Anolis sagrei: one gene and its partners. The protein of the gene in region 1 interacts with the protein of each later gene in a biochemical or structural test. Links are inferred from orthologs where the notes say so. Each region holds a gene or a part of one and is shown in the gene's direction. Other genes may lie near its edges. The genes, in order: DLG4, KCNA4, RPS6KA1 and ADRB1.

What was found.
Region 2: the proteins of DLG4 (region 1) and KCNA4 form a complex in vitro, tested with the Homo sapiens proteins (8 studies listed by BioGRID and IntAct, with this or other methods). The link is inferred for Anolis sagrei from reciprocal best matches to the Homo sapiens genes DLG4 and KCNA4.
Region 3: the proteins of DLG4 (region 1) and RPS6KA1 interact in a test that uses a peptide from one of them, tested with the Homo sapiens proteins (2 studies listed by BioGRID and IntAct). The link is inferred for Anolis sagrei from reciprocal best matches to the Homo sapiens genes DLG4 and RPS6KA1.
Region 4: the proteins of DLG4 (region 1) and ADRB1 form a complex in vitro, tested with the Homo sapiens proteins (2 studies listed by BioGRID and IntAct, with this or other methods). The link is inferred for Anolis sagrei from reciprocal best matches to the Homo sapiens genes DLG4 and ADRB1.

Annotation. Positions count from the first base shown.
Region 1 is NC_090026.1:4,290,338-4,297,921, reverse strand, and holds the start of DLG4 (disks large homolog 4), read left to right. Parts: upstream 1-4,438; 5' UTR 4,439-4,492; coding exon 4,493-4,511; intron 4,512-7,584. UniProt on the Homo sapiens protein: Postsynaptic scaffolding protein that plays a critical role in synaptogenesis and synaptic plasticity by providing a platform for the postsynaptic clustering of crucial synaptic proteins.
Region 2 is NC_090021.1:259,341,337-259,349,297, forward strand, and holds the start of KCNA4 (potassium voltage-gated channel subfamily A member 4), read left to right. Parts: upstream 1-4,871; 5' UTR 4,872-6,029; intron 6,030-7,058; 5' UTR 7,059-7,838; coding exon 7,839-7,961. UniProt on the Homo sapiens protein: Voltage-gated potassium channel that mediates transmembrane potassium transport in excitable membranes. Forms tetrameric potassium-selective channels through which potassium ions pass in accordance with their electrochemical gradient.
Region 3 is NC_090034.1:73,338,534-73,346,076, reverse strand, and holds the start of RPS6KA1 (ribosomal protein S6 kinase alpha-1), read left to right. Parts: upstream 1-4,301; 5' UTR 4,302-4,425; coding exon 4,426-4,506; intron 4,507-7,543. UniProt on the Homo sapiens protein: Serine/threonine-protein kinase that acts downstream of ERK (MAPK1/ERK2 and MAPK3/ERK1) signaling and mediates mitogenic and stress-induced activation of the transcription factors CREB1, ETV1/ER81 and NR4A1/NUR77, regulates translation through RPS6 and EIF4B phosphorylation, and mediates cellular proliferation, survival, and differentiation by modulating mTOR signaling and repressing pro-apoptotic function of BAD and DAPK1.
Region 4 is NC_090023.1:206,905,232-206,913,293, reverse strand, and holds the start of ADRB1 (beta-1 adrenergic receptor), read left to right. Parts: upstream 1-4,762; 5' UTR 4,763-5,325; coding exon 5,326-6,624; intron 6,625-8,062. UniProt on the Homo sapiens protein: Beta-adrenergic receptors mediate the catecholamine-induced activation of adenylate cyclase through the action of G proteins. This receptor binds epinephrine and norepinephrine with approximately equal affinity.

The DNA of each region.
Region 1 (7,584 bases):
AGCTACAAGCTGGGTAGATGCAGGGAATGCCGTGGATGTAGCGTACCTGGATTTCAGTAATGACCTTCTGGCAAGGAAACTAGTCCAATGTGGGCTAGGCAGAACTACGGTGAGGTGGATCTGGAATTGCTTAAGTGGACGAACACAGAGAGTGCTCACTAATGCTTCCTCTTCATCTTGGAAAGAAGTGACAAGTGGAGTGCCGCAGGGTTCCGTCCTGGGCCCGGTCCTGTTCAACATCTTTATTAATGACTTAGATGAAGGGCTAGAAGGCAGGATCATCAAGTTTGCAGACGACACCAAATTGGGAGGGATAGCCAAGACTCCAGAGGACAGGAGCAGGATTCAAAACGATCTTGACAGATTAGAGAGATGGGCCAAAACTAACAAAATGAAGTTCAACAGTGACAAATGCAAGATACTCCACTTTGGCAGAAAAAATGAGATGCAAAGATACAGAATGGGTGACGCCTGGCTCGAGAGCAGTACGTGTGAAAAAGATCTTGGAGTCCTCGTGGACAACAAGTTAAACATGAGCCAACAATGTGATGTGGCGGCAAAAAAAGCCAATGGGATTTTGGCCTGCATCAATAGGAGCCTAGTGTCTAGATCTAAGGAAGTAATGCTCCCCATGCTCTATTCCGCCTTGGTTAGACCACATCTGGAATATTGTGTCCAATTCTGGGCACCACAATTCAAGAGAGATATTGACAAGCTGGAATGTGTCCAGAGGAGGGCGACTCAAATGATCAAGGGTCTGGAGAACAAGCCCTATGAGGAGCGGCTTAGAGAACTGGGCATGTTTAGCCTGAAGAAGAGAAGGCTGAGAGGAGATATGATAGACATGTATAAATATGTGAGAGGAAGCCACAGGGAGGAGGAGGGAGCAAGCTTGTTTTCTGCTTCCCTGGAGACTAGGACGCAATGGGACAATGGCTTCAAACTACAAGAGAGGAGATTCCATCTGAACATTAGGAAGAACTTCCTGACTGTGAGAGCCGTTCAGCAGTGGAACTCTCTGCCCCGGAGTGTGGTGGAGGCTCCTTCTTTGGAAGCTTTTAAGCAGAGGCTGGATGGCCATTTGTCAGGGGTGATTTGAATGCAATATTCCTGCTTCTTGGCAGAATGGGGTTGGACTGGATGGCCCAGGAGGTCTCTTCCAACTCTTTGATTCTAGGATTCTATGATCTGCACACATTATTTGCCGATGCATCACACAGTCCTAGATACTTGGAAAGTGTCTGACATGTGATCTAATACAAAAACCAGCATAGGAATGTTGTTGTGTTTCAAATAATAATAATATAAGCCTTCCTTTAATAATAATAATAATCATCATCATCATCTAAGCTTGCTTTTTGAAGATACCTAAAATGTCTAACAACAACAACAACAACATTGCAATGCCAGGTGACTGCGAAATTGATGAAAAACAACTGGAAAAACTTACACGATATGAGGATTTAAAGAATTGCAAAGACTCTGGCACAAGCCAATCAAGGGGGTCCCAGTGGTGATCGGCACACTAGGTACATTGCCTAAAGACCTTGGCTTGCACTTAAAACCAATTGGTGCTGACAAATTTACCATCTGTCGGTTGCAAAAGGCCACCTGACTCGGATCTGCACACATTATTTGCCAATACACACCGTCCTAGACACTTGGGAAGGGTCCGACGTGTGATCCAATACAACAGCCAGCAGAGTGACCTTTGCTGTGTAATTTTTTTTGTCATGTCAGGAGCAAGTCGTTTCTGGTGTGAGAGAATTGGCCGTCTGCAAGGACGTTGCCCAGGGGACACCTGGATGATTTGATGTTTTATCATCCTTGTGGGAGGCTTCTCTCATGTCCCCGCGTGAGGAGCTGGAGCTGATAGAGGGAGCTCATCCGCCTCTCCCTGGATTCAAACCTGCGACCTGTCGGTCTTCAGTCCTGCCAGCACAGGGGTGTAACCCACTGCGCCACCGGGGGCTCTGGCTGCTGTGTAATAATCTTGTGTTTCAAATAATAATAATAATTATTATTATTATTGTTATTATTTATTTATTTATCGTGTCATCAGCAACCATACCATTGTATTACAATTCTAACAGAACAAAACAAACACACAGATTAAAAAGGGAAAAGGGAAAAAAAAAACACGGATTTTGCAAACTTGGTAGTTGGTTAAATGTCCTTTGACCAGTATCTGGCCACTGGTATTGACGAAAAAAGGTCCTCCATTGTGCATGTGGCAGGGCTCAGGTTGCATTGCAGCAGGTGGTCAGTGGTTTGTTCTCTGCACTCGCATGTTGTGGACTCCACTTTGTGGCCCCATTTCTTAAGATTGGCTCTGCATCTCGTGGTGCCAGAGCGCAGTCTGTTCAGCGCCTTCCAAGTCGCCCAGTCTTCTGTGTGCCCAGGAAGGAGTTTCTCATCTGGTATCATCCACGGATTGAGGTGCTGGGTTTGGGCCTGCCACTTTTGGACTCTCGCTTGCTGAGGTGTTCCAGCGAGTGTCTCTGTAGATCTAAGAAAACTATGTCTTGATTTAAGTCATTGACATGCTGGCTGATACTCAAACAGGGGATGAGCTGGAGATGTCTCTGCCTTGGTCCTTTCACTATTGGCTGCTGCTTCCCAGCGAATGTCAGGAGGTGCAATACTGGCTAGACAGTGTAATTTCTCCAGTGGTGTAGGGCGCAGACATCCTGTGATAATGTGGCATGTCTCATTAAGAGCCACATCCACTGTTTTAGCGTGGTGAGATGTGTTCCACACTGGGCATGCATACTCAGCAGCAGAGTACCATAGCGCAAGGGCAGATGTCTTCACTGTGTCTGGTTGTGATCCCCAGGTTGTGCCAGTCAGCTTTCGTATGATGTTGTTTCTAGCGCCCACTTTTTGCTTGATGTTCAGGCAGTGCTTCTTGTAGGTCAGAGCACGGTCCAAAGTGACTCCCAGGAATTTGGGTGTGCTGCAATGCTCCAGTGGGATTCCTTCCCAGGTAATCCTCAGAGCTCGGGATGCTTGTCTGTTCTTAAGGTAATAATAATATTATAATAATAACAACAACAACAACAATAATGCAAGTGAAACAAACGGTAGAAGAAGAGGAACACGCACTGGAAGATTATGTGAAAGGCAATCAAGAACCAACATTGAGGGAAGTCAATAGCAGAAAACTGCTCAAAGTGCAAAAGACAAAGAGTGAATACTGTAAAAACACAACCCAGAGCAGAAGAGAAAACTGGCGAAAGAAGAAGGCTCTCCATGGACAGTTCCTGGGAAAAATTGAGAGTCAAATTGACAAAGAAAAAACATGGCTGTGGCTCACAAATGGGACTTTGAAAAAGGAGACGAAGGAGGGCCTGATTCTGGCAGCCCAAGAACAAGCCATTCGAAGCAAGGCCATCAAAGCCAGAATTGAAAAGTCGATGACAGATCCCAAGTGTAGACTCTGCAAGGAAGCAGCTGAAACAATAGATCCCATCCTCAGCTGCTGCAAGAAGATCGCGGACAGACTACAAGCAGAGGCACAACACCGATGTTCAGATGATCCATTGGAACTTGTGCCACAAACACCATCTACCTGAGACAAAGAACTGGTGGGATCACAAGCCGGAAAGAGTTACAGAGAATGAACACGCCAAACTCCTCTGGGACTTCCAGATTCAGACTGACAGAGTTGTGGACCACAAGACTCCTGACTTCACAATTGTGTTAAAAACCAAAGTATGGATTGTCGATGTCGCAATCCCAGGTGAGAGCAGGATTGAAGAGAAACAACTGGAAAAGCTGACATGATATGAGGAATTAAAGATGGAACTGCAAAGACTCTGGCACAAGCCAGTCAAGGTGGTCCCAGTGGTGGTTGGCACACTGGGTGCAGTGCCTAAAGACCTTGGCCTGCACTTAAACACAATCGGCTCTGACAAGATTACCATCTGCCAGCTGCAAAAGGCCATCTTACTGGGATCTACATGCATTATTCGCCGATACAGCCAGCAGAGTGATCTTGTTTGCTGTGCACTCATCTTGTGTGTTGTTGTTGTTCATTCGTTCAGTCGTCTCCGACTCTTCGTGACCTCATGGAACAGCCCACGCCAGAGCTCCCTGTCGGCCGTCACCACCCCCAGCTTCTTCAAGGTCAGTCCAGTCATTTCAAGGATGCCATCCATCCATCTTGTGTACCTAATAATAATAATAATAATAATAATAATAATAATAAGCCTGCCTTTTGAACATGCCACAAATGCCGTTACAAAACAGGGCAGGCTTTGGCAGGAACTGATTTTCAGAAACCTCACGTCCAACTTTCTGAACCGGAAAACAGCTGTGTGAGAGTAACTTCGGAGGGGTCAAGAGAGAAGAACTACACATCCCAGGATGCCTCGGAGCGGAGGAAGACGGGTCAGAGGTTGCAATCTGCTGGGCAAATCTCTTAAGCTGGCAGATGTTTGGGAAGGGAGATTAGGAGATTAAGGTTGTACATGTACAAACCGCCTGCGAGATGCCCGTGAACAGACAAGGTAAGGCCGAGGCCGGGTTCGCCTTTTGTGGATTATTATTATTTGTCCCCCTCTTTGGCAAATGGGGGGGGGGATATATTCAGAATATATTTGGGGTTTGGGGTGCAATTTTCCCTTAGGGACATTATGGCATGCTGTGATGTGGTACCAATATGGATAGGGAGAAACTATCCCAGGGGAGTACCCGACCAATAGCAAACAACGTGGATCAATTACTTGAGATATCAATTCCTTGCTCTCTTGTGTGCAGTTGATTGGGACATTGATTGATCATGTTATCCATACAGCAGAATAATAATAGAGTTTTTTGGGCTACATGGACATGTTCTAGAGGCATTCTCTCCTGACGTTTCGCCTGCATCTAGGGCAAGCATCCTCAGAGGTATTGAGGTCTGTTGGAACTAGGAAAAGGGGTTTATATATCTGTGGAATGACCAGGGTGGGACAAAGGACTCTTGTCTGCTGGAGCTAGGTGTGAATGTTTCAACTGATCACCTTGATTAGCATTTGATGGCTTGACAGTGCCTGGAGCAAACTTTTGCTGAGAGGTGATTAGATGTCCTTGTTGGGTTGTTGTATGTTTTTTCCGGGCTATATGGCCATGCTCTAGAGGCATTCTCTCCTGACGTTTCGCCTGCATCTATGGCAAGCATCCTCAGAGGGAGTGAGGTCTGTTGGAACTAGAAACGAGGTTTATATATCTGTGGAATGACTAGGGTGGGACAAAGGACTCTTGTCTGTTGGAGCTAGGTGTGAATGTTTCAACTGACTACCTTGATTAGCATTTGATGGCCTGGCTGTTGTTTGGTGTGGCTTGTTGGTGCATCAAGGTGGTCAGTTGAAACATTCACACCTAGCTCCAGCAGACAAGAGTCCTTTGTCCCACCCTGGTCATTCCACAGATATATAAACCCCTTTTCCTACTTCCAACAGACCTCACTACCTCTGAGGATGCTTGCCATAAATGCAGGGGAAATGTCAGGAGAGAATGCCTCTAGAACATGGCTATATAGCCCAAAAAAACCTACAACAACCCAATGATTCCTGCCATGAAAGCCTTTGACAATACAATAATAGTATAAATCTTGGATTGTTAAACCATTGATCCCTCAACCCAAACATTTCCCAAAGTCCATAGGGTAGGACTCCAATTCCCATCATCCCCATCAAATTTGGATTGAAAGACATTAGGAAGGACTTCCTGACTGTGAGAGCTGTTCAGCAGTGGAACTCTCTGCCCTAGAGTGTGGTGGACGCTCCTTCTTTGGAGGCTTTCATACAGAGGCTGGATGGCCATCTGTCGGGGGTGCTTTGAATGCAATTTTCCTGCTTCTTGGCAAAATGGGGTTGGACTGGATGGCCCATGAGGTCTCTTCCAACTCTAGGATTCTATGACTGAACGAGATGTATATCATCAATCATCCAACTTAGTTTGCTATGTTTTCTTTGGACTCGAAACTAAATTGCAAAAAAAAAGTTATGATTTATGCCTTATGACAGTGTTTCTTAACCTGGGGGTCGGGACACCTGAGGGGGTCGTGAGGGGGTGTCAAAGGGGTCGCCAAAGACCATCAGAAAACAGAGTATTTTCTGGTGGTCATTGGGATTCTGTGTGGGAAGTTTGACCCAATTCTATTGTTGGTCAGGTTCAGAATGCTCTTTGATTGTAGGTGAACTATAAATCCCAGCAACTACAACTCCCAAATGCCAAGGTCTATTTCCCCCAAACTCCACGAGTGTTCACATTTGGGCATATTGAGTAGCTGTGCCAAATTTGGTCCAGATCCATCATTGTTTGAGTCCACAGCACTCTCTGGATGTAGGTGAACTACAACTCCAAAACCCAAGGTCAATGCCCACCAAAACCTTCCAGTCTTTTCTCTTGGTCGTAGGAGTTCTGTGTGCCAAGGCTGGTTCAATTCCATCATTGGTGGAGTTCAGAATGCTCTTAGATTGTAGGTGAACTATAAATCCCAGTAACTACAACTCCTAAATGGCGAGGTCTATTTTCCCCAAACTCGACCAGTGTTCATATTGAATATTTGTGCCAAATTTGGTCCAGATCCATCATTGTTTGAGTCCACAGCATTCTCTGGATGTAGGTGAACTACAACTCCAAAACTCAAAGTCAATGCCCACCAAACCCTTCCAGTCTTTTCTCTTGGTCATGGGAGTTCTGTGTGCCAAGGCTGGTTCAATTCCATCATTGGTGGAGTTCAGAATGCTTTTTTATTGTCGGTGAACTATAGATCCCAGCAACTACAACTCACAAACAACAAAATCAATTCCCCCCAACTCCACCAGCATTCAAATTTGGGTGTATTGGGTATATGTGCCAAATTTGGTCCAGTGAATGAAAATACATCCCGCAGATCAGATATTTACATTACAATTCATAACAGTAGAAAAAAGACTGTTAGGAGGTAGCAACGAAAATAATGTGATGGTTGGGGGTCACCACAAATGAGGAACCGTATTAAGGGGTCGTGGCATTAGGAAGGTTGAGAACCACTGCTTTAAAGTTATTGATAATTTATTGCTAACACTTCCACTCTATAATTTCATGAATCCATTCCCCAATGTAGCTACTTCTCTAACTTTTGGTCACATTCCTATCCAAGACTTGGACAGCCATGGCTCCCAAAGGGACCCATTTAAGGTGGAATCAGGTGTCAAACAATGGAACCATGCGATTTGTAAGCAATGGAACCATGGGATTTGTAGTTTGGTGAGGTACCAGAGGAGCTTGGACCATTTCAATGGGCTTTATGTTCCTTTTGCAGCCTTACAATATCAGTCAATGGCTTTTTTTCCTTCTCGGTTGACGAAGGCATCCTTTTGCCGTGTTCTGCTGTGCAGCCATGTGCCACCCGCCCTATATTTGTAGATCAGTCTGTTCTGCTCTAAATGCAGAGCCGTGTTCCGTATTTACGGCATCTTCTTGCACTGAATTCAGGGATTCGTTCAGATGAAACCGTAGAAAGCTCCCCATTGATTGCTGTTCGCCCAGGGGCGGCTCGTCCATTATGCGAAGTAAGCGGTCGCAAAACACTTTTTTTTTGCCAGGGGTGCA
Region 2 (7,961 bases), on another chromosome or scaffold:
GGGGGTTGGACTGGATGGCCCATGAGGTCTCTTCCAACTCTTTGATTCTATGATTCTATGATTCTGTGATTATTCTTAGGATTGCTAAGTTTTGGGTATAGCAGTGGTCCAATAGGGGGAGGAGGGAGCATCCTTAAACAGTGGTAGAATGACTGCTATGGGCTGCAAGTGATGGGGGCATGATTGTTGTTGTGTGTTCTAAAGTCATTTCGGACTTATGGTGATTCTAAGTCAAACGAACAGTTTCTGGGACAGAGTGGAGAATCAAAGTCTGGTCTTTGGAGTCATAAATCAATGCTCAAATCAGCAGACCTGCACTAGTTCTCATATCTATTCTTCCCACATAAAACTCCTTTCTTTTCTGTGGCCTACACAGCGATCTCAATGGTCCAAATTTTATCTTTTTAAAATCAGAGCTTTTGAGCTTTTTAATTGGAATGTTCTTATTAAAGACAATTTATAATTTAGTTTAGAATCTTTATTCCAATAATTAATAGATTAATACAGGTTGAGTATCCCTTATCTGGAATTTAGAAATGCAAAATACTTCAACATCTGAAATCCTCTAGGTGAGTGGGTCCAATAGTGATATCTTTGCTTTCTTATGGTTCAGTGTACACAAACTTTGCATCCTGGACAATATTATTGAAAAAAAATTAGGCCAGACCTGCACAACAAATGGCCCGTGGGCTACTTGTAGTCTGCCAAAGGATTCTCGACCTCTTAAAGAGGCTGCTACTCTCACCACTTCCCCTGTTGCCAGCCCTTCCAGTTGCTTGACATCACACTCTGACTCTCCCAAGCTACCTTGTATAGATGCCACCCCTTCAAGCCTCAGGGGCTCCAGGCGTCCATCCAGCCACTGCTTGAAAGCTCAGGGCACCACAGGCTACCACAATCCCTGGTTACCAGGTGCTATTCTACACACATACATGGTTTGTAGCCTGATGAAACCTATCAGAAATCCTGGAGGTGTGAGGAATGGTAGAAGAGCTGGTCATTCATTTCCTAGGGCACATTAAGGGTGCATCTACAATGCACCTGCAGATAGATTCTATAGTAGAATGGATGCAATTTGACACCACTTTAACTCCAATGTCTCAATGCTATGGATTCTTAGTAGTAGTAGCTTGGTGAGATGCTAAAAACCTGTGTTTGAAAAAGTTTAGCCTAGTTTAATTTTGGCCCCTCCCTACTACAGTGCTGTGCATGTCTGTTGTAGGCAGTTACCTTCAGATGATGCATGTAAGGTGCAGAATCTAGAAGGCTTGGGTCTCACTCAGTGCTGGATTTAGGACAAATGAGGCCATGTGCTAGTTCAGTTAGGAGGGTCCTTCCTTGGGTCCTGAAGGAGGTTGGCCCAGCAGGCCTCCACTGACTGCTTCGTGTCACACTCCCATAGACTATCAACTCTATCATTATGCCTGGAATGGCTCAGAAACTGTCAATATTTGTTTTAGCAGAAAGGGGTCCCTGTACTTCTACACCACTAAACACAATGGCAAATCTGGGACTGGTCCCACCACGTGGATCCAAAATAGGTCTTCACGGCCACTTATGAACCCACTGTTTTGTCTCTACTCTTGGACGACAGTCATACCTGGAAAGGAGTGATCACCCATGAAGATATGCAAGTGTTCGGGGGGGGGGGGGGGGAGCCCTGGAACATGAAACACTTTTGGTCACAAGCATTTCAGACAAAAGAGGCACAGTGTTGCTGGGAGTTTTCCAGGCTGTATGGCCATGTTCCAGAAGCATTTTCTCCTGATGTTTTGTCCACATCTATGGCAGGCATCCTCAGAGGTTGAAGACTCTATTGGAAACTAGGCAAGTGAGGTATATATATCTGTGGAATGATGTCCAGGGTGGGAGAAAGGACTCTTGTCCGCTTGAGGCAGATGTGAATGTCTAAAATCAGGACAGTTAATAAAGAACAACACTAAAAAAGCAGGGGAATTCCATGCAAAAATCAATCAAGGCCACCTAACACCTCCCAACAAAGGATTTCCCTAGGCAGCAACTAGACAGTCTTTGAAGCTACAAGGTCATTAAAATGCTAATCAAGGTGGCCAATTGCAACCGTCACAATTTCCTCAAGCAGACAAGAGTTCTTTCTCATCCTGGACATTCCACAGATATATAAACCTCACTTGCCTGGTGCCCCTGGTGGGTTTAACCCTTGTCCTGGCAGGACTGCTGACCAATAGGTCACTGGTTTGAATCCAGGGAGAGCAGGCTGAGCCCCCTCTGCAGATGGCCAATTCTCTCACACCTGAAGTGACTTGCAGTTTCTCAAGTGGCTCCTGACACACACACACAAACCTCTTGCCTAGTTTCCACCAGACCCCTCAACACCAGGACAGAATGCTTCTGGAACATGGCCATACAGCCCAGAGAACTCTCAGAAACCCAGTGATTCTAGCCATGAAAGCCTTGAGGCCTCATCACACTAGACTAGAGAATGAATCCACTTCATGGACTGGGCTGTGGCACAGCTAGTTAGTAGCCAGCTGCATTAAATCATTACTGACCAAGAGGTCATGAGTTTGAAGCCAGCCTAGGGTGAGAAGGGCGGAATATATGGGCCGGAGGTTAAGCACAGCTGGGAAAACATCAGTAATTATAAGATCTATCAACCAAAAGGTTGCAAGTTCGAAGCCCTGGGTTGGTGTGAGCTGCCAACTGTTAGCCTAGCTCATTGTTTACCTAAGCAATTTGAAAACAGCTTTAGCTGTGATTAGAGAAATTAGGTACCGCTAAAAGTGGGGGAGGTGTTTTATGATGCCATAAAGAAATAAGATCAGAAAATGCTGGGCGACCAAAAGAAGGAAGTCCTAATGGCTCTTCGTCATAGAGGATAGAGCAACAGCATCCCCTGGGCTTGAGCTCAACCTCCATGGCACCTCCTTCTGTTCTGTGTATTGTCTATACAAAGTGGCATTGAATGTTTGCCGTGTATGTGTACTGTGATCTGCCCTGAGTCCCCTTTGGGGTGAGAAGGGTGGAATATAAAGGAAGTGTTGTTGTTCATTCGTTTAGTCACTTCCGACTCTTTGTGACCTCATGAACCAGCCCACGCCAGAGCTCCCTGTCAGCCATCACCACCCCCAGCTCTCTCAAGGTCAAGCCAGTCACTTCAAGGATGCCATCTATCCATCTTGCCCTTGGTTGGCCCCTCTTCCTTTTTCCTTCCATTTTCCCCAGCATCACTGTCTTCTCTAAGCTTTCCTTTCTTCTCATGATGTGGCCAAAGTACTTCATCTTTGTCTCTACTATCCGTCCCTCCAATGAGCAGTCAGGCTTTTTTTTCTGAAGTATGGACTGGCTTGATCTTCTCTTGGTCCAAGGCACTCTCAGAATTTTCCTCCAACACCACAGTTCAAAAGCATCTATCTTCCTTCGCTCAGCCTTCCCTATGGTCTAGCTCTCACATCCATAGGTGACTATGGGGAATACCATTGCTTTAACTATGTGGATCTTCATTGTCAGTGAGAAGTCTCTACTCTTCACTATTTTATTGGTCATTGCTCTCCTCCCAAGAAGTAAGCGTCTTCTGATTTTCTGGCCACAGTCTGCATCTGCAGTAATCTTTGCACCTAGAAATACAAAGTTTGTCACTGCCTCCATGTTTTCCCTCTCTATTTCCCACTTGTCAATCATTCTTGTTGCCACAATCTTGGTTTTTTTGATGTTTAGCTGCAAACCGGCTTTTGTGCTTTCTTCTTTCATCTTGATTAGAGGCTCCTCAGCTCCTCCTCGCTTTCGGCCATCAAAGTGGTATCAGCTGCATATCTAAGGTTTGTTTGTTTGTTAACTGTTTTTATCTGAAATATGTGGCCTGCCCATTGTCATCACTACCATGTTTGTGTTTATTGGAATGTTTATTTTATTTTAATGTCATTTTGATAATGTTGTTGTTGTTTGTTTTATATGCTTTGATTTTATTGCTTTATTGATTTTATTGCCCCATGTAAGCCGCTCCGAGTCCCATTGGGGAGATGGTGGCGGGGTAGAAATAAAGTTTTGATTGATTGATTGATTGATAAGGTTGCTAATGTTTTTTCCAGCAATTTTAACCCCAGCCTTGCATTTGTCAAGCCCTGCACATCGCATGACGTATTCTGCATGAAAGGTGAATAGGTTGGGTGAGAGTATACAATCTTGCTGTTCGCCTTTATTATTATTATTATTATTAATAATAATAATAATATAAATACTGTAAATAAGCAATAAATAAATAAATAAATAAATACGGTTGCCGCGTCCTGCAGAACTCTGTGGTTTGTAGTTTAGGAAGGAGCCTTTAACAGCCTCACTAAACTACAACCCGCAGAATTCTGCAGGAGGCAGAAACCGGATTTGAAGTGGATCCATTCTCTAATGCAGGGGTCCTCAAACTAAGGCCCAGGGGCTGGATGTGGCCCTCCAAGGTCTTTTACCCGGCCTTTGTTCAGGGTCAACGACTTGAAAGCACACAACAACAACAACAATCCTATCTCATCAGCCAAAAGTAGGCCTACATTTCCCATTGAAATACTAATAATTTTATATTTGTTGAAATTGTTCTTCATTTTAATTATTGTATTGTTTTAAGTATTTTTTGCACTACAAATAAGATATGTGCAGCGTGCATAGGAATTCATTCATTTTTTTTCCAAATTATAATCCGGCCCTCCAACAGTTTGAGGGACTGTGACCTGGCCCTATGTTTAAACAGTTTGTGGACCCCTGCTCTAGTGTGATGAGAGGACCAGACAAAGGGGGCACAATCTGTACGTGGGGCGGTGCTGGGGTTGGGGAGGAAAAGGGTGGCAGGTGCTGAGGAGGCGGCTGACCGCTAGGGGCCGATGGAGAGCTAGCAAACCTGCGGAATCAATCAGACCGAGCCCCGCCGTTCTGTCCATCAGCGGATGCGTAAACACAACTGCGACTTGGGCAGGCGACTCCTTCTCCCGAGCGAAGGTGTATCGGGGAAAGGGAGGGAGGGAGGGAGAGAGAGAGGGAGAGGGCGACGAGCGGGCGAGAGAGAGAGAGAGAGAGAGAGAGAGAGAGAGAGAGAGAGGCCAGGCGCAACAGAGCGCGCAAAGCAGCGTAGGCGCAGGAGGCGGCACGGGAGCATCCTAAGAAGAGGAGGAGGAGGAGGAGGAGGAAGCAGCAGCAGGAGCAGCGCCTTCAAGGAGCGGCCCCCTCCCTCCGGCTCCCCGAACGGCCCCCTCCCTCCCTCCCTCCCACCCTGACCAAGATTATTCCGAGGAGAAGAGGAGGCACGCGCGGAAACAGAGCGGCAGCCACGACAATAACAACCAAAACAACAGCAACAACAAGTGGACGCGATTGCCTCGGGAGCGAAATCGGGCGAAGCGAGCCACCGCAAGGCAGCGGGGAAGGAGGAGGCAGGAGGGGACGGCCGCAAGGCAGCGCGCGGCGTGGGTCTGCGAGGCGCGTCTCCTCTTTTCCTGCCAGTAGCAACAGCCAGCTTTCCTCGGGGAGAGAGGAGCGGGGAGAGAGGAGGAGGAGGAGGAGGAGGAGGAGGGCGCCTTCCCCAAGGCCTTGGCTGGCAACAACTGCTTGGCAGAGGCGCGCGCGAGGGAGAGAGGCCGGTCCCCGGGCCACGAGCAGCTCCCGCCCATCTCGCCCAGTCCAGTCTGCTTCTGCGGGAGGCGGCGGCGGCGTTGGATGCCTTCTTTCCCTCAGGGATGGCTATGGGGTCAAGCACAGCGGGAAAGGCAAGACGAAGTGAGCTGCGGCGGGAGCGTGCCCGGAATGCCCCCTAGGACCAACCCTGGGGGTGGCCGTGCCCTGGCTTGCCTTCCCTTCCAGCCCGCGGCTCACACACCAAGGAGGCCCAGCCAAGCCGTCGCCCCTCTGCCTCGCTCCCCTCCTTCCTCCTCCTCCTCCTCCTCCTGAGCGCCGCACCTGTGAAAACAGGTTGCTCAGAACAGCCTCCCCTCCCTCTCTCCCCCCCCCCCCCCGCCCGTTCTTCTCTCGCTTTGCAGATCCTCAACGCTGCCTTTTCTCTGCCTACCGCGGTAAGTAGACAGGGATGGTCCTCCCTCGAAGCTTAGGGGCTATTTTAGATCTCGTTTTAAGGAGATTTTGTCTCTGAAGCATGCTTGTTTTTTTAAAGCCTCAATATGGGTAGTTCGCATGTGGGAGGCTCCGTTGCCTGGCTGCTTGATTCCTCATGCAGCACCACCTCTTCGCTCTAATATTGCCTCATGCTGCCCGTTTCTGTGCTTTTTCTCTCTCTCTCCTCCCTGGAGAAATGTGGTCATCCTTCCCAAAGACAGGTCTTGATTTGAGAAAGTGTATGATGAGCCTTCTCTCCCCACAGTGTGCTTACTGTCATCATGTTGATACATGTATTAAGGGCAGCGCTTTGTTCTAAAAGGATTCTGGGTGGCATTTGTCCATGTTTTTCTCTTGATTATATGTACGCATCCATTAATTTAAAGCCACGGTTGATCACTAACCTACAACCGTTTCCTACCAATCCAGGAGAGCCTTTTTAAATCCATTATACAGGCATAGAGAGCACAGTTGGGCTATTCCTGCAAATATCTCACTGTAAACACACACTGCAACAGAGGCAGACCAGATCTCTCTCTAGTGATAAAAAGCACTGTGTGTGAAACAGTGAATGCAGACAGAGAGCACAACAAGCTGTGCACCTCATTATGTTATAGTCATCACATCTATTCTGCATTCATGCTCATGTTGTTGTTCACAAGTAGATCTCTATATATATTATGTAATGCAGAGATACCTGCATTTCACAGTCTAGGTTTGTATTCAAAATCATCTCCCTAGATATTAAAAAACTCTGAGTGAGATGTGGGTGTGTGTATGCTTGCTTATTCTTCTAACTACATCTATATATAGTCAGATGAACATAGACACAGAAAGATTGTGTGTGCCGCATGTGGGTGCACAATGACAGGGAATGATGAGTAGTGCAAGTAGGCAAATCTGAGCCTTTGATGTGAATTACCTTAATCTGGATTATGATCAATCCTTTTCCCCATCCCCATTTTTTTGTTTTCCTGTATGTACCTCAGGTTACACATGACTGCTGCACAGGACTAACCGAAAGGTGCTCCATTCCTTTCTCTCCAATGGGAAACAAAGAACCAGTGTTTCAACCATCTCCTCCTCATCCACCTTCTCTCTCCATAATTGCTGTTCCAGCCAATGCTTTGCCCAGTTTGAAACACTGTTGAGAGACTGACGGATGTGGTTATGCTAAGACCTCCTCACTGTGTAAACAAAATGAAAACTGGAAGCTCCTTCAACTTTCTAAAGAAATTAATCAGCAATCTCATTTCTAAGCTGTTGTGAGAATACTGGCTGTTTTGCACGTGATTATGCGAGAACTCAAGAGCTTTTGTGAGGGGGAAAAACCTGTGCCCCATCTTCATTTGCTTAAGTGCATCGTTTGCATGATGCAAAACATTCAACACCATGAACTCAGAGCTATGGATTTTTCATAAAGCTCTGAAGAAAGACCTAGCCAATGTGTTTTCACAGATAAAAGGACACCATCCAGATATATTGTTTGGCTACTTCAGAAGATTCTGTACTGTACCTGTGAAAATATTCTTGAGGAATCTTTGTGTCAAAATCCTCTGGACCCTACCTAAGAAATGGAACTCTTGCCTCTGAGAAATCTATGGTGTGAAAACTCAAGTCTGCTGCTAGTCTGAGACAACACTTTTTCGAAAACATGGCTTTCCAAACTTTAGTGGTCTTGTCATTCTCATGCAAAGCACCCAGTGATAAAGGCTGAAAAAACAGACATCTTTTTTCCTTCTTAGTCTTCAAAAACAAGCACATACAACATGGAGGTTGCAATGGTAAGCGCAGAGAGCTCTGGGTGCAATAGCCACATGCCTTATGGATATGCAGCCCAAGCAAGAGCCAGAGAAAGAGAGCGACTGGCACAGTCCAGGGCAGCGGCGGCG
Region 3 (7,543 bases), on another chromosome or scaffold:
ATACTAATCCAGCCTTTGGCCTGCTGGGTGAAATGATGGGAGTGGTAGTCCACCGTCACTGGAAGAGTGCCAGGTTGGAGACGTTTGCATAATCATCTGTGTTTTATGATCTGTTTACCTGCTTCGTCTTTCTGGCACTGTGCTGAATCAAAGTGCATCAGGATTTCACTTGTGATTCAAACTGAGCTTCAAATGCTTGAATTCTCCATTATCGTTGTCAGGTGTATTGTCAATGTGCCAGTTTGCTAGAGATTGAAGCTTGAGATAATCCAAGCGATTAATGAAGGGGTGGAAATGGAACAGAACAGTTTCGTGCTTCTCCCCAAAGCTGTTCTGGGGTGCATTTGCAGGCACGTGTCTGTCCCATTAACTCAGTGGACGCTGGCCATTAACTTCTTCATAATACCAAGAATGACCTTGACAACTAGGCAACAGATATACTATCTGCCTTGTGCCTTTGGAGTAATTCAAAAGGAATGATTTGTTTTAAACTGTTTCCTCTATTTGCAGTTGACACACTTGACCTCTAGTTTGTTGATTTCCCAGCAGTTAAACCAGGGATCTCAGAACTCTTTCCAAGGATGATCTCTGTTATTGAGCCACAGTAAATCTGCCCCTCTTGGGAAAATTTATAGTTCATCAAGAGCACCGAAATAAATATATGATTTCTTCCTTTTCTTTTTTATTAAAAGCCCTTTCTGAAGGTTTGGAACTGGGCAAAGTTCAAGATCATCGAGAACGAAACAGTAGTAGCTATAACTCCCTAAAACTGTATTGCATCTTTTTTATGGTTGTTGTAGGCTTTTTTCGGGCTATATGGCCATGTTCTAAAGGCATTTTCTCCTGACGTTTCACCTGCTTCTATGGCAAGCATCCTCAGAGGTAGTGAGGTCTGTTGGAACTAGGAAAAAGGGTTTATATATCTGTGGAATGACCAGGGTGGGAGAAAGGACTCTTGTCTGTTGGAGCTAGGTGTGAATGTTTCAACTGATCACCTTGATTAGCATTTGATTGCTTGGCAGTGCCTGGAGCAATCTTTTGTTGAGAGGTGATTAGATGTCCTTGTTTGTTTCCTCTCTGTTGTTGTGCTGTTCTTATTTTAGAGTTTTTTAAATACTGGTAGCTAAATTTTGTTCATTTTCATGGTTTCCTCCTTTTCGTTGAAATTGTCCACATGCTTGTGGATTTCAATGGCTTCTCTGTGTAGTCTGACATGTTGGTTGTTGGAGAAGCCATTGAAATCCAGCTGTCCCCTGCCATGCATTGCTGTGACCCAGTCTGTTGATCTGGAAAATAAAGTAATGAGAAAGTGGTGGTTTCTAATATATGTAATTTCTTTATGCTTGTGGGTAAACAATATTTCTTGCTGTTTCTTTGTCAGTGTTGATGTGGAGAGTGTCTGGTTTGCCCATCCTGGAACATGCAATATATCATTGTCCTTCTTTAAGGGTCCCTTTGAAATCTATGATACTATATCTGTGTGTGTGTGAATCATATCTATCTATCTATCTATCTATCTATCTATCCATCCATCTATATCTATGGCTGGATGGCTCTTTGTCTGGAGGGCTTTGATTACGTTTTGTTGCCCTGATGAAGGGAGTTGGATTGGATAGCCTTAAGTATTTTCTGTTGGTCATGGGGGTTCCGTGTGGGAAGTTTGCCCCAATTCTGTTGTTTGTGGGGTTCAGAATGCTCTTTGTATGTGAACTTTGAATCCCAGTGACTACAACTCCCAAATGTCAAGGTCTATTTACCCCAAACTCCACCTGTGTTCATATTTGGGTGTATTGAGTGCTTGTACCAAGTTTGATCCAGATCCATCATTGTTTGAGTCCACAGTGCTCTTTGGATGCAGGTGAACTACAACTCCAAAACCCAAGGCCAATGCCCACCAAACCCTTCCAGTATTTGCTGTTGGTCACACAAGTTCGGCATGCTAAGTTTGGATCAATTCCATTGTTTATGGAGTTCAGAATGCTCTTTGATTGTGGGTTAACTCCCAAACTCAAGGTCAATGGCCACCAAAGGTCAATGCCCACCAAACCCTTTCTGTTGGTCAAGGGAGTTCTGTGTGCCATGTTTGGTTCAATTCCATCATTGATGGAGTTCAGAATGCTCTTTGATTGTAGGTGAACTGTAAATCCCAGCAACTACAACTCCCAAATGACAAAATCATAATTGTTTGAGTGATGGTCACTCCTTGGATTGTGAAACATTTTGTTGTCAAATTTGGTGTGATTTTGTTCATTGGTTCTTTTATTTTTAAGGTACTCATTATGCACAGAGCATTTATATATATATAGATAGAAGATAGATTGTTCTTTCATGGTTTTCTTGCATTGCACTACAAAACAAGTGCACTGTGCTGAGGAATTCATTCCATTTTTTCAAGCTGGAACCCAGCAGTCTGATTTGGTCCTTGGTTCAAAACGTTTGAGGACCCCTGCTTTCAGGAGTGGACTCCCCACTTTAAATCCCAAGGCTGCCTATTGCAGACTCCTGGGATTTGCTGGTGAGGGAGGAGCCTTAAAAATCCCCAGCCACAGAAACCCCAGGCTTGACTAAACTACAAATCCCAGAACCCTGCAGGAGACCCCTCTCTTGGAGGTTGCTGGGAGTGGCAGTTCAGCCTTGGGCTCCTGAGAAGTTCCTGGAGCTGGCAATTCGACCCCAGGGCCAGTGGCAGCCTTACCCTGGGGTCCCCCTTCTCCTCCTTATGGGGGATTTAGGGGGGTGGCAGTGCAGCTTTAGGCTTCTTCTCCTGGTGGATGCTGGAAGGTGCAGTCCAACATTGGCCTCCAAGATGAACTGAGCCACCTCAACTGGGCTCTACAGGCCAATGGATACTCCACCTCAGAAATCAGAAGAGCTGCAAGACCAAGAACAAGCCACGAGAGTCAAGATGAAGATCCACCCAGAGGAAAAGTGTTCCTGCCATACATCAAGGGAACCACTGACCGCATAGGGAAGCTGATGAGGAAACACAACATACAAACAATCTACAAACCCACCAAGAAAATCCAACAAATGCTACGTTCAGCAAAGGACAGAGGGATCCACTCACCTCTGCAGGAGTCTACCTTATACCATGCAGCTGTGGACAAGTCTACATAGGGACCACCAAACGCAGCATTGCCCAGACACGAATCAAGGAACATGAAAGGCACTGCAGACTGCTTCAACCAGAGAAATCAGCCATAGCAGAGCACCCAATGAAGCAACCTGGACACAGCATATTATTTGAGAACACAGAAATGCTGGACCACACCAACAACCACCATGTCAGACTACACAGAGAAGCCACTGAAATCCACAAGCATGTGGACAATTTCAACAGAAAGGAGGAAACCATGAAGATGAACAAAATCTGGCTACCAGTATTAAAAAACTCAAAAATTACAACAGCAAAACAACAGAGAGTAAACAATCAGGCACATCAATTCACTCTCAACAAGAGATTCCCCCCAGGCGCTTCCAGGCCATTGAATGCAAATCAAGGTGATCAGCTGAAACATTACCCTGGTCATTCCACAGATATATAAACCCATTTTTCCTACTTCCAACAGACCTCACTACCTCTGAGGATGCTTGCCATAGATGCAGGCGAAACGTCAGGAGAAAATGCCTCCAGAACATGGCCATATAGCCCGGAAAAACCTACAACAACCCATTGGCCTCATGGTTGCCTGGGCTGGGCGCCTCCTCTTGGCGGGAATCTGGAAGTAGCTCCAAATCTAGGCCCCGCCTGTGGGCGGGCAGTGGGCGTGGCCTCTCAGCCCTGAGCTATTAGGCCCCGCCTCTTGAAGGACTGTGGGTTGGCGCTCCAGCCTTAGGACCCGCCTCTGGAATGGCGGTGGGCGTGTCCTCAAAGCTGTAGGCCCCGCCTCTTGAAGGAATGTGAGCGTGGCGCTCCCCCTGTAGGCGAATGGTGAGCGTGGCCTCCCAAGCCGGAGCTTCTTGAAGGATAGTGGGCGTGTCCTCCAAGCCCACAGCCTTTTGAAGCGTCCTAAGCCTGAGTCTCTTGAAGGACTGTGGGAGTGGCGCTCCAGGTTTGAGATGGTGGTGGGCGTGTCCTCCAAGCCTTGAGCCCCTAGGCCCCGCCTCTTGAAGGACAGTGAGCGTGGCCTCCCAAGCTTGAGTCTGTAGTCCCCGCCTCTTGACAAAGGGTGGGCGTGGCTTCCCAGACTTAGGCCCCGCCTGTAGGCGGGCGGTGGGCATGACATCCCATGCCTGAGTCTCTAGGCCCCGCCTCTGGGCGGACGGTGGGCGTGGCTTCCCAGACTTATCCCCTCCTTCCAGCAGGAGTTCCGCACAGACGCTGCGGTCTGGCGGGAAGAAGAGAGCAGCTTCGTTCTCTCCCTCAGCTTCGGCGGGAAGACAGGCAGGCATTGCGGCTCCCGCTCGGAGGAAGAGGCCGCCGCGATGCCGCTCGCGCAGCTGGGAGCCGAGCCCTGGCCGGAGGGGAACATGGAGCTGGTGGACATGGAGCTGGACGAGGCCGAGGTAGGCAAGCACGGAGGGAGGGAAGAGGGGGCGCCGCGGACCCCCGGGAGCAAGGCCCCGCCAGGCCGGACCCTTCCCTCTCCTATCCCCCCTCCCTCCACCGTCATTAGAGTAACCCGACCCTCTGCATCGACCCTATCGATCCCTATCGTGTCCTTCCCTGTAAGAGCCCTGGCGTCCTCCTTGCCTGCCTACCTTCCTGGGTTTGGAAAGAGTTGAGCAACTGGAAAGCCTTGCCTGGCTCATTGAGAGGGGCAAGGAGCCCCCAGGTTACAAACAAGGGTTGTGCTTAAGTTGCATATGTACGTAATTCAGAACAGGTACATTTCTTCAAGGGTAACTCCAGCTAAACATACACACACACGCGCGCACACATATATATCAGGCATGGGCCAACTTTAACCCTTCAGGTGTTTTGGACTTCAAGTCTCACCATTCCTTACAGCCTCAGCCCCCTTCCTTTTCCCCCTCAGCCACTTAGGGGCATGGGCGAACTTTGGCCCTCCAAGTGTTTTGGACTTCAAGTCCCACCATTCCTAACAGCCTCAGACCCCATTCTTTTCCCCCTCAGCCACTTAGGTGTAACTCCAGCTAAACACACACACACACACACACGCACACATATATATATATATATCGGGCATGGGCCAACTTTGGACTTCAACTCCCACCATTCCTAACAGCCTCAGCCCCCTTCCTTTTCCCCCTCAGCCACTTAGGGGCATGGGCGAACTTTGGCCCTCCAAGTGTTTTGGACTTCAAGTCCCACCATTCCTAACAGCCTCAGATCCCATTCTTTTCCCCCTCAGCCACTTAAGTGTAACTCCAGCTAAACACACACGCACACATGGGCCAATGTGTGTGGCATGGGCCAATGAGCCCTTCTGGTGTTTTGGACTTCAACTCACACCATTCCTAACAACCTCAGGCCCCTTCCTTTTCCCCCTCAGCCACTTAGGTGTAACTCCAGCTGAACACACACACACACACACACACATATATATATATATATTGGGCAAGGGCAAACTTTGGCCCTCCAAGTGTTTGGACTTCAACTCCCACCATTCCTAACAGCCTCAAACCCCATTCTTTTCCCCCTCAGCCACTTAGGTGTAACTCTAGCTAAACACACGCGCACACACACACACACCTTCCTTTTTCCCCTCAGCCACTTAGGTGTAACTCCAGCTAAACACGCACACACACACACATATATATGGCATGGGCCAACTTTGGCCCTCCAAGTGTTTGGACTTCAACTCCCACCATTCCTAACAGCCTCAGGCCCCTTCCTTTCCCCCCTCTGCCACTTAGGTGTAACTCCAGCTAAACATACACACACACACACACATATATATATATCAGGCATGGGCCAACTTGAGCCCTTCAGGTGTTTTGGACATCAACTCCCACCATTCCTAACAGTCTCAGACCCCATTCTTTTCTCCCTCAGCCACTTAAGTGTAACTCCAGCTACATACACAGACACACACACATATATATATCGGGCATGGGCCAACTTGAGCCCTTCAGGTGTTTTGGACTTCAAGTCCCCCCATTCCTAACAGCCTCAGACCCCATTCTTTTCCCCCTCAGCCACTTAGGTGTAACTCCAGCTAAACACACGCGCATACACACACACACAAACACACACACACACACACACATATATATATATAGTGCATGGGCCAACTTTGGCCCTCCAAGTGTTTTGGACTTCAAGTCCCACCATTCCTAACAGCCTCAGACCCCATTCTTTTCCCCCTCAGCCACTTAGGTGTAACTCCAGCTAAACACACGCGCATACACACACACACAAACACACACACACACACACACATATATATATATATAGTGCATGGGCCAACTTTGGCCCTCCAAGTGTTTTGGACTTCAAGTCCCACCATTCCTAACAGCCTCAGGCCCCTTCCTTTCCCCCCTCAGCCACTTAGGTGTAACTCCAGCTAAACACACACACACACACACACACACACAAATGTATCAGGCATGGGCCAACTTGAGCCCTTCAGGTGTTTTGGACTTCAGCTCCCACCATTCCTAACAGCCTCAGACCCCATTCTTTTTCCCCTCAGTCACTTAAGTGTAACTCCAGCTAAACATGCACACACATATACATATGCATGGGCCAACTTTGGCCCTCCAAGGGTTTTGGACTTCAACTCCCACCATTCCTAACAGCCTCAGGCCCCTTCCTTTTCCCCCTCAGCCACTTAAGTGTAACTCCAGCTAAACACACACAAACACATATATATCTCGGGCATGGGCCAGCTTTGGCCCTCCAAGTGTTTTGGACTTCAACTCCCACCATTCCTAACAGCCTCAGGCCCCTTCCTTTTCCCCCTCAGCCACTTAAGTGTAACTCCAGCTAAACACACACAAACACATCTATATAAATAAAAATGTAATGTTCGTTTGTGATATTCACAGAACTCAAAAACCACTGGACAAATTGACACCAAATTTGGACATAATACATTAACAACCCAATGTATGTCCTTCACTCATAAAAACACCAAAAAACAAAAGTCCCAAAAAGCTAAATGATGAAAAGCTACATGACAATACAGAAAAAAAGGAAGAAAAGGAGGAAAAGAAAGGAAAGAAAAAAGGAGAAGGAAGGAGAGACGGAAAGAAAAAAGGGAAACAAGGAAAGAAAGAGGGAGCGAAGGAAGGTGGGAAGATGTAGAAAAGGAGGGAAGGAAAGAAGGAAAGAGAAAAAGAAGAAAAGAGAAAGCAGAAGAGGAAGAAAATGGGGGAAGGTAGGAAGAAGGGAAGGAAGGAAGGAAAGAGGGAGGGAGGGAAGGAAGGAGGGAAAGAAGGACAGAAAGAGGGAAGGTTGGCCACAGCAACGCGTGGTGGGCACAGCTAATATATATATATATATATATACACACACACACACACACACACATACACACACACACACATATATATATCTGGCATGGGCCAACTTTGGCCCTCCAAGTGTTTTGGACTTCAACTCCCACCATTCCTAACAGCCTCAGGCACCTTCCTT
Region 4 (8,062 bases), on another chromosome or scaffold:
ATGAGAATCAACATTGCCTGACCCAGAATTTAGCTGAAGAAACAGGAAGGAAGAAAAGAAAAAAAGCACTCTGTTTTTGGCTGCTAGAAGTGTTGCCAAACAACAAAACTACCCCACCACACACTTGCTATTTCTTGCAACCTGTTTCCTCATATATAACCACTTTGCACCTCAAGCAAGGGATAAAAGTGTGATACAAATATAATAATAATATCAACAATATTAGGAGTAGAAATTTGTCAACAAAATGATTTTTACCACTATTCACCACTGAGTCTCTTCAGATAAAAAAGTAGTATGTAAACAAAAAGGAGGAAAAAGAGGAAGAAGGAAGAGAAGGAGAAGAAGGAAGCAGGTGTAGTAGTTCTTAAGGCCCCTTCTATCCTGCCATATAATCCACATTATCTGGATTGAACTGGATTACATGAGTCTACAAAGCAGATAATCTAGATTTTATATGGCAGTGCAGAAGGGGCCCAAGAAGAAAGATTCCATTTGGGGGCTTAGAGAAATAGTAAGCAAAGGTGTGTATGGACACAATAATAAACATCAGGTGTGTATAAAGTGCTGCATGATACACAAAAAGTGTGGAAGCCAGTGTGATTCTGGTCCCTTCTACACAGACATATAAAATCCAGATTATCTGCTTTGAACTGGATTATTATTATTATTATTATTATTATTATTATTATTAAGGAAACTCAAGACTTGGCTGTGGGACCTTGCATTTGACCATTGAAAAGAGGCTTATATGAAGAAGACATAAGCAATTTCGAAGTGACAATGAATTGACCCGGACCCAGATTTTAATTGGCGTGTTTTAACAACTGTTTGCTTAATGTTTTGTTTTAATAAATTTGTTGATTGTTTTTATCATTATGATGGCACCAAATGGTGTTTGCTGTGAGGCTGTCCTGAGTCCCCCCTAAGGGGGGGGGGGTGAGAAGGACAGGTTACAAGTATATGAAATAAATCAATAAATCATATGGCAGTGTAGACTCATATAATCCAGTTCAAGCCAGATAATGTGGATGATATGCTTTGATAATCTGGATTATATGGCAGTATGGAAGGGGCCACAGTGATTTCAGAGTTGCGGTAGGACTGTAAGAACAGAGTTCAAATCTACAAATGGCATGGATATCCACTGGATGACCCTAGACAAGTCACAATCTCTTGGCCTAAGAGGAAGGCTAAGACAAACCTCCTCTGAACAAATCCTGTAGAGCCAGTGTTTTGTAGTAGTTTGAATATTACAGCCTTATCACACAAGGCAAAATAAGCATCCTAGGACACTTCTGCCCCAGTTCAACCATGGAGCCCCACACTGCCCATCATATGACATCGGGCGACTTCTGGTGGGGCTTCATTGATGAACTGGGGCATCAGTGTGGAAGGACTACTACAAACACAAAGGTAGCCCCATGTTCCATAAGAAACAACACATGGGATGAGGAAGCATCAGTTGCTGGCTGGGGCTCCGGGATTGCCCCAATACTACCCTGATTTGCCATGGATGCTGGCGAATCACAATCCTGGTAAGACAGCATGTGATGAGGTCCTTAGACTGTGTACAGACCAGGATTTGAATCCCTGATCTGTCATGGAAACCCTCTGGATGGCCTTGGGCAAGTCACATTCCCTCACTATCTTAGGAGAAAGCAACCTCAGAAGGTAAGCTTCCCAATAATGCCATAGCACAGCAATCGTCTGGTTAATTACACATTTGTGTGTGGGGAGGGGGGGGAGGGAGGGAGAAAGATTGTGTGACTAGTGTTGCAGTCAGACCTCTTTATATGTGAGGACTCAGTTCTGCAGATAGGAAGAAAACCGAATCCTCTCTTTTAAACTTGTCCATAATTACTGATAGTCATCAGAGGGCTTGATGCATATCTTGCCACCAAGGATGTATCCATGACTAGACTTTTTCTTTCTCAGCATCTTCATCATGTAAATCCCTCCCTTGGTGCTTGACCTTCTCTTTATCATACCATAAACGGGCAGCTAAGACTATTTGATTCGGTTGGCATTTAAAATGAGAACCAGCCTGGTATAGTAGTCTGAGGACTACACTTGACTTGAAGCCATGGAAACCCACCGGGTGATTTCGAGCAAGTCATACTCTTTCCATCTCAGAGGAAGGCAAAGACAAACCTCCTCTGAGCAAACCTTGCTAGGAAAACCGTAAGATAAATTTGCCTTAGGGTTGCTGTAAGTCAGAAAGGATTTGAAGGCACATAATAACGTAACTAAATGTTGCACTACTAGATCTTAAAATGGGGAACATTCAGTGCATCCATAAGGAAGACTTGCAGCAGCAACAACAAACATCCAAAGGGAGTCAGGGCGTTTTTCTCCCTATAATAACATCAATCATATTGCTAATTTGAATGGTGATAGTAATGATTAACTTTCTAGCCTGCCTTTTCCCTCAGAATCAGGACTAAAAAGGGGGGCTAACCTTGCAACAGAGGCTCATTTCAAGAAGCGCAATGATGAAGCATTCATTCAGGGCAGGTAAACAGAAATCCTTCCACAGCTCCTTCCTAAATGCTTCCCCCAAGATTTGTTTGGATGGCTTTTAATGGTGTTGGGAGGAACAGCAAGAAGAGCTGAGGTTGGTGGAGAATGCCTGTGGCTCTGGGATGCCTTCAGGATCTCAATTAAAGCTTGTGCACCAGTTGCACCTGTATCTTGAGAAGCCAGACCCACGCTCTTGTTACATCAAGAATAGATTACTGCAATGCACTCTATGCAGGGTTGCCTTTGAAGACTGTTCAGACGTTTCAAATAACCCAAAGGGCAGCAGCCAGATTCCTCACTGGAGCGGGGTATAGGGAGCACACAACCCCTCTGTAACGTCAGCTCCACTGGCTGCCAGTCTGCAACAGAGCACAATCTGAAGTGCTGGCTTTATCCTATAAAGCCCTGAATGGTTCTGGCCCAGCTTACCTGTCAGGGCCTTCTAAGTGGTGGCTCCTCGACTCTAGAATTCTCTCCCCAGTGAGATTAGATCAGCCCCCTCCCTCCTGACTTTTAGAAAGAGAACAAAGACATAGGACCAAGCTTTTGACTGGTAAAGTAATGCAGTACAAGAAGTAAATATGGAATATGTGCAATTGACATTTGCTGGAAGGGAAGGGAAGGGAAGGGAAGGGAAGGGAAGGGAAGGGAAGGGAAGGGAAGGGAAGGGAAGGGAAGGGAAGGGAAGGGAAGGGAAGGGAAGGGAAGGGAAGGGAAGGGAAGGGAAGGGAAGGGAAGGGAAGGGAAGGGAAGGGAAGGGAAGGGAAGGGAAGGAAGGAAGGAAGGAAGGAAGGAGAGGAAGAAAAGAGAGAAGGAAGGAAGGGTGGAATGGAATGAAGGGAGGGAGAAAGAGGGAGGGAGGAAAGAAGGAAAGACAAAAGGGAAGGAAGAAGGAAGGAAGGAAGGAAGGTAGGAAGAGGGGGGGAGAGAGAAGGAAGGACAAAAGGGTGCAAGGGAAGGATGGAAGGAGAGGAAGGGAGGAAAGAAAGAAGGAAGGAAGAAAGGGTGGAATGGAATGAAGGGAGGGAGAAAGAGGGGGGAGGAAAGAAAGAAGGAAAGACAAAAGGGAAGGAAGGAAGGAAGGAAGGAAGGAAGGAAGGAAGGAGAAAGAGGGAGAGAAAAGGAAGGAAGGACGAAAGGATGGAAGGGAAGGATGGAAGGAGAGGGAGGGAGGGAGGAAAGAGAGAAGGAAGAAAAGTTGGAATGGAATGAAGGGAGGGAGAAAGAGGGAGGGAGGAAAGAAAGAAAGAAAGACAAAAGGGAAGGGAAGGGAAGGAGAAGGAAGGAGAAAGAGGGAGAGAGAAAAGGAAGGAAAGATGAAAGGGTGGAAAGGAAGGATGGAAGGAGTGGGGGAGGGAAGGGAGAGAAGGAGGAAGGAAAGAGAAGGAAAGACAAAAGGGAGGGAAGGAGGAAAGGGTGGAAGGGAAGCGAAGGGGAGAAAGGAAAGAGAGAAGGAAGGAAGGAAGGATGAAAGGATGGAATGGAGAGAGGGAGAAAGGAAAGGAAGGAAGAAGGAAAGGATGGAAGGGAAGGAGAATAGAGAGGGAAGGAGGAAGAAAGCGAGAAGGAAGGAAGGATAGGCTGTTGAGCGAGAGGAGGGCCTGAGAAAGGGCCCAAGGGCCCACATCTGGTCCCCAAGCCTGGGTGTGCCCATACCTGGGCTATATAGCCTCCTTTGCCCAAAGGGTGCTGCTGTGTCTCACAAAGATCTCACAGCATGGAGCTATGGCTGTCAAGTTGCATCCCTTCAAGCCTGGAAAGGCAGCCTGAAGCAGCACTAACTGCCGCCTCCACTGCAACTTAGCAAACCGGGGGGGGGGGGGGGGGTCAGCCATAAAGAACTGTGCTGTCCCTAGGTTTGGCTCCAGGGGGAGGACGAGGGACAGGAGGAGGAGGATGAGGAGGACAGAAGAGGGCGCATTCAAGGGCATTCATTCGGCCACCAGAGCTGAAAGCGAAAGGCTTCCAGAGAGGGAGGGGGGAGAGAGAGAAAGAAGAGGAGAGGGACAGAGAGAGAGAGAGAGAGAGAGAGAGGAGGGAAGGAAAGCAATACAGGGATAAAAAGTGAGAAGGGGAGAGAGAGAGAGAGAGGAGGGAAGGAAAGCAATACAGGGATAAAAAGTGAGAAGGGGAGAGAGAGAGAGAGAGAAAGAAGGGGAGGCACACTGAGAGTGTATGTGCATGAAGGAGAGTGGGGGGTATAGACGAAGGGGGAGGTGAAGGACAGAGTGTGAGAGAAGAAGGGAGCGGGAAGGACAGGAAAAGAGGGCCAAGAGGGACCTAGAGATAGGCAGACGGGCAGGCGCAGAGAGATAACGCTTCCGAGAGAAACGTGGACTCCAGGGCGAAGGCAACGCTCTCCTCGAGCCCTCGTGGGCGCCTGGAGCTGCCTTCCTCCTGGTCTCCCTCTCCTCCTCCTCCTCCTCCTCCTCCTCCTCCCTCAGCCCCCCTTCTTCCAGAGGAACCCCTTCAGTCCTGCCTCCCCCTCCCTCTCTCCCTGCCTGAGTTCTCCGAGGGCTCGCCATTGGCTGCCCGGGTGCCGACGTCACTGGAGGGGGCGGGAGGCGTCTTCAGAGGCGCGGGAGCCCGCCGGAGAGGCTGGCTCGCGCAAACCATGCTGGAGCCCCGGAGCAAGTGGCGGCGGTGGAGGCGGCGTCGGAGGCGCTCCCAGCAGCGGCAGCAGCTGCTGCCAAGAGCCCGGCTCTCTTCCTCCTCCTCCTCTTCCTCCTCCTCTTCTCCTTCCTCCTCTTGGATGATGCCCTGAGCGGCCGGACCCCTCTTGCTGCTCTCCGCCGGACAGCCATGGGAGATGGCTGGGTCTTCCTAAGCGAGAGCCTCCAGAACCGGTCCAACTCCAGCGGTGCCCAAGGCAACGCCTCGTCCGCGCCCAGCCCGGGCGCCTTGCCCCTGGCCCCCAAGGAGCTGTCCCAGCAGTGGGTGGTGGGCATGAGCCTCCTCATGTCCCTGATGGTGACCTTCATCGTGGTGGGCAACGGCATGGTCATCGCGGCCATCGGGCGCACCCAGCGCCTCCAGACCCTCACCAACGTCTTCATCACCTCCTTGGCTTGCGCCGACCTGGTCATGGGATCCGTGGTGGTGCCTTTTGGGGCCACGTTGGTGGTGCGTGACACCTGGCTCTGGGGCTCCTTCCTCTGCGAGTGCTGGACCTCGGTGGACGTCCTCTGCGTGACGGCTAGCATCGAGACCCTCTGCGTCATCGCCATCGACCGCTACTTAGCCATCACCTCGCCTTTCCGCTACCAGAGCCTCATGACCAAGAAACGGGCCAAGGTCATTGTCTGCGTGGTCTGGGCCATCTCGGCCCTGGTCTCCTTCCTGCCCATTATGATGCAGTGGTGGAGGGACGACGACCCCGAAGCCTTATTGTGCTACGACGACCCCGGCTGCTGCGACTTTGTCACCAACAGGGCCTACGCCATTGCCTCCTCCATCATCTCCTTCTACGTCCCGCTCTCTGTGATGATTTTTGTCTACATCAGGGTCTACCGAGAAGCCAAGGAGCAGATGAAGAAGATCGACAAGTGCGAGGGGCGTTTCTACAACAACCACCACCAAAAGCAGCAACACCAACAGCCGCCAACCCACCAGCAGCTGCCTATCCTGGGCAACGGTCCGGCCACCAGGAGGAAAACCTCCCGAATCTTGGCCGTACGGGAGCAGAAGGCCCTCAAGACCTTGGGCATCATCATGGGGGTCTTCACTCTGTGCTGGCTGCCCTTTTTCTTGGTCAATGTGGTCAAGGTCTTCAACAGAGGGCTGGTTCCAGATCAGCTCTTTGTTTTCTTCAACTGGTTGGGTTACGCCAACTCCGCCTTCAACCCCATCATCTACTGCAGGAGCCCTGATTTCCGGAAGGCCTTCAAGAGGATGCTGTGCTGCCCAAGGAAAGTGGACCGGAGGCTGCATGCCACTACTGGGGATCTCTCTCGGTACCCGGGGGGCTTCATTAGTACTCTCGGAGATACTGCCCCATGCACTCTTGGAGGGACGTGGTCCGATTACAATGGTGGTGCCCGGGATGGAAGTGACTCCAGCTTAGAGGACAGGAACAGTAAAACCTCCCATTCAGAATCCAAGGTATAAGGGCAGTTTGGTGGGAAGGATCAGAGTTCGTGGTCAGTCCTGTGGAAACGGAAAGGGAGCTGAAGGAATAGACAGAACAGGAAGGAAGGAATAACTAAATCACTTGGGAGTCTGGCTAATGTACAAATCACCTGATTGACTTGCCATTATGGGGGAGAGAGTTGTATTTATCCTAGAGGGAAAGCAGGTGAACTTGGCTGTTCCATACCTCTTCTGAATCACCCGAAATGGAAGCAAACAGAGAGCATCTGGCCATTGAACAAAAGAGGTTAATGATCCACCTCCCACCCCCATCCCAACCTCCAAGATATTTGGATTATTAGTATTTACATGGAGGAGAGTTGCATGGAGAAACGGGGAGGGAGGCGTGAGTAAGTTTGAAGGAGTTTGCCAAACAAATGGCTTGTGAAGAGCTGGACTTGTAGCAGGCACTTAGGCTGAAAGTCACTGAAGGAGGCAACCAGGGTGTGTATTCCTTTGCCAATAATGGAAGGAAACATCATTGAGCCCTTGGTGGTTTGATTGGAGACTATGCTGGTTTTACAAAAAATGTTCTTTACATTTATCCCAAGAACTTAGCACAAAAAGTAGCCTCTTTTCAAAACATATATCGATATGTATCCTTTTCTGAGAAGTGCTGGTCACCCATATAAATCCATTGATACCAGCATGACTTTCGTGCAGGCAGTCAAAACCTTTTGCAAATCCATTCTAAAAGGCTCCTTTAATATGCTGTCGGGGGTAAATACCTTGGCGAGTTTTATCATGAGCCTGTGCGTATTTAGCAGAATTGAGTTGATGGAAGTTACCCTCAAGTAAATGTGCATTAGCTTACAGCCTTAATATCCTCGTGGCCACATTCTCCTTAACATCCTAGGAGGAAATGATCAATCAGTAATATTGACATGTTGTGTATTCTAATCAAGTATCTCCTTATTTCTGATCCATATTATATCCCATTGACTTGTGGGGTGGGGTGGGGGCTGAAGGTGCATTCTTCTTGTCCTACGAGACAACAGCAATCAGGCTACAAATTGTCTACCTCAAGCTGTGCATATTGTACAGGGGAAAACGTGTTTATATTAAACCGCTTATTTATGTCTTGTCAGTTAGGGGTTTGTTTTGTTTTCCATAGAGACAGAAGCATCCATCCTCTAGTAATCCCTTCATTCACGCTGAAAGGTGAGAGGGGAAACTGGGCTTGGAGCATTAAAAATATTGGGTTGTTGTGTGTTTTCCAGGCTGTATGGCCATGTACCAGAAGCATTCTCTCCTGATGTTTTGCCTGCATATATGGCAGGCATCCTCAGAGGTTGTGAGGTCTATTGGAAACTTGGAAAATTGGGTTTATATGTCTGTGGATTTCATGAAAATGAACAGAATATGACTACCAGTATTAAAAAAAACTCTAAAATCATAACAGTAAATAAAG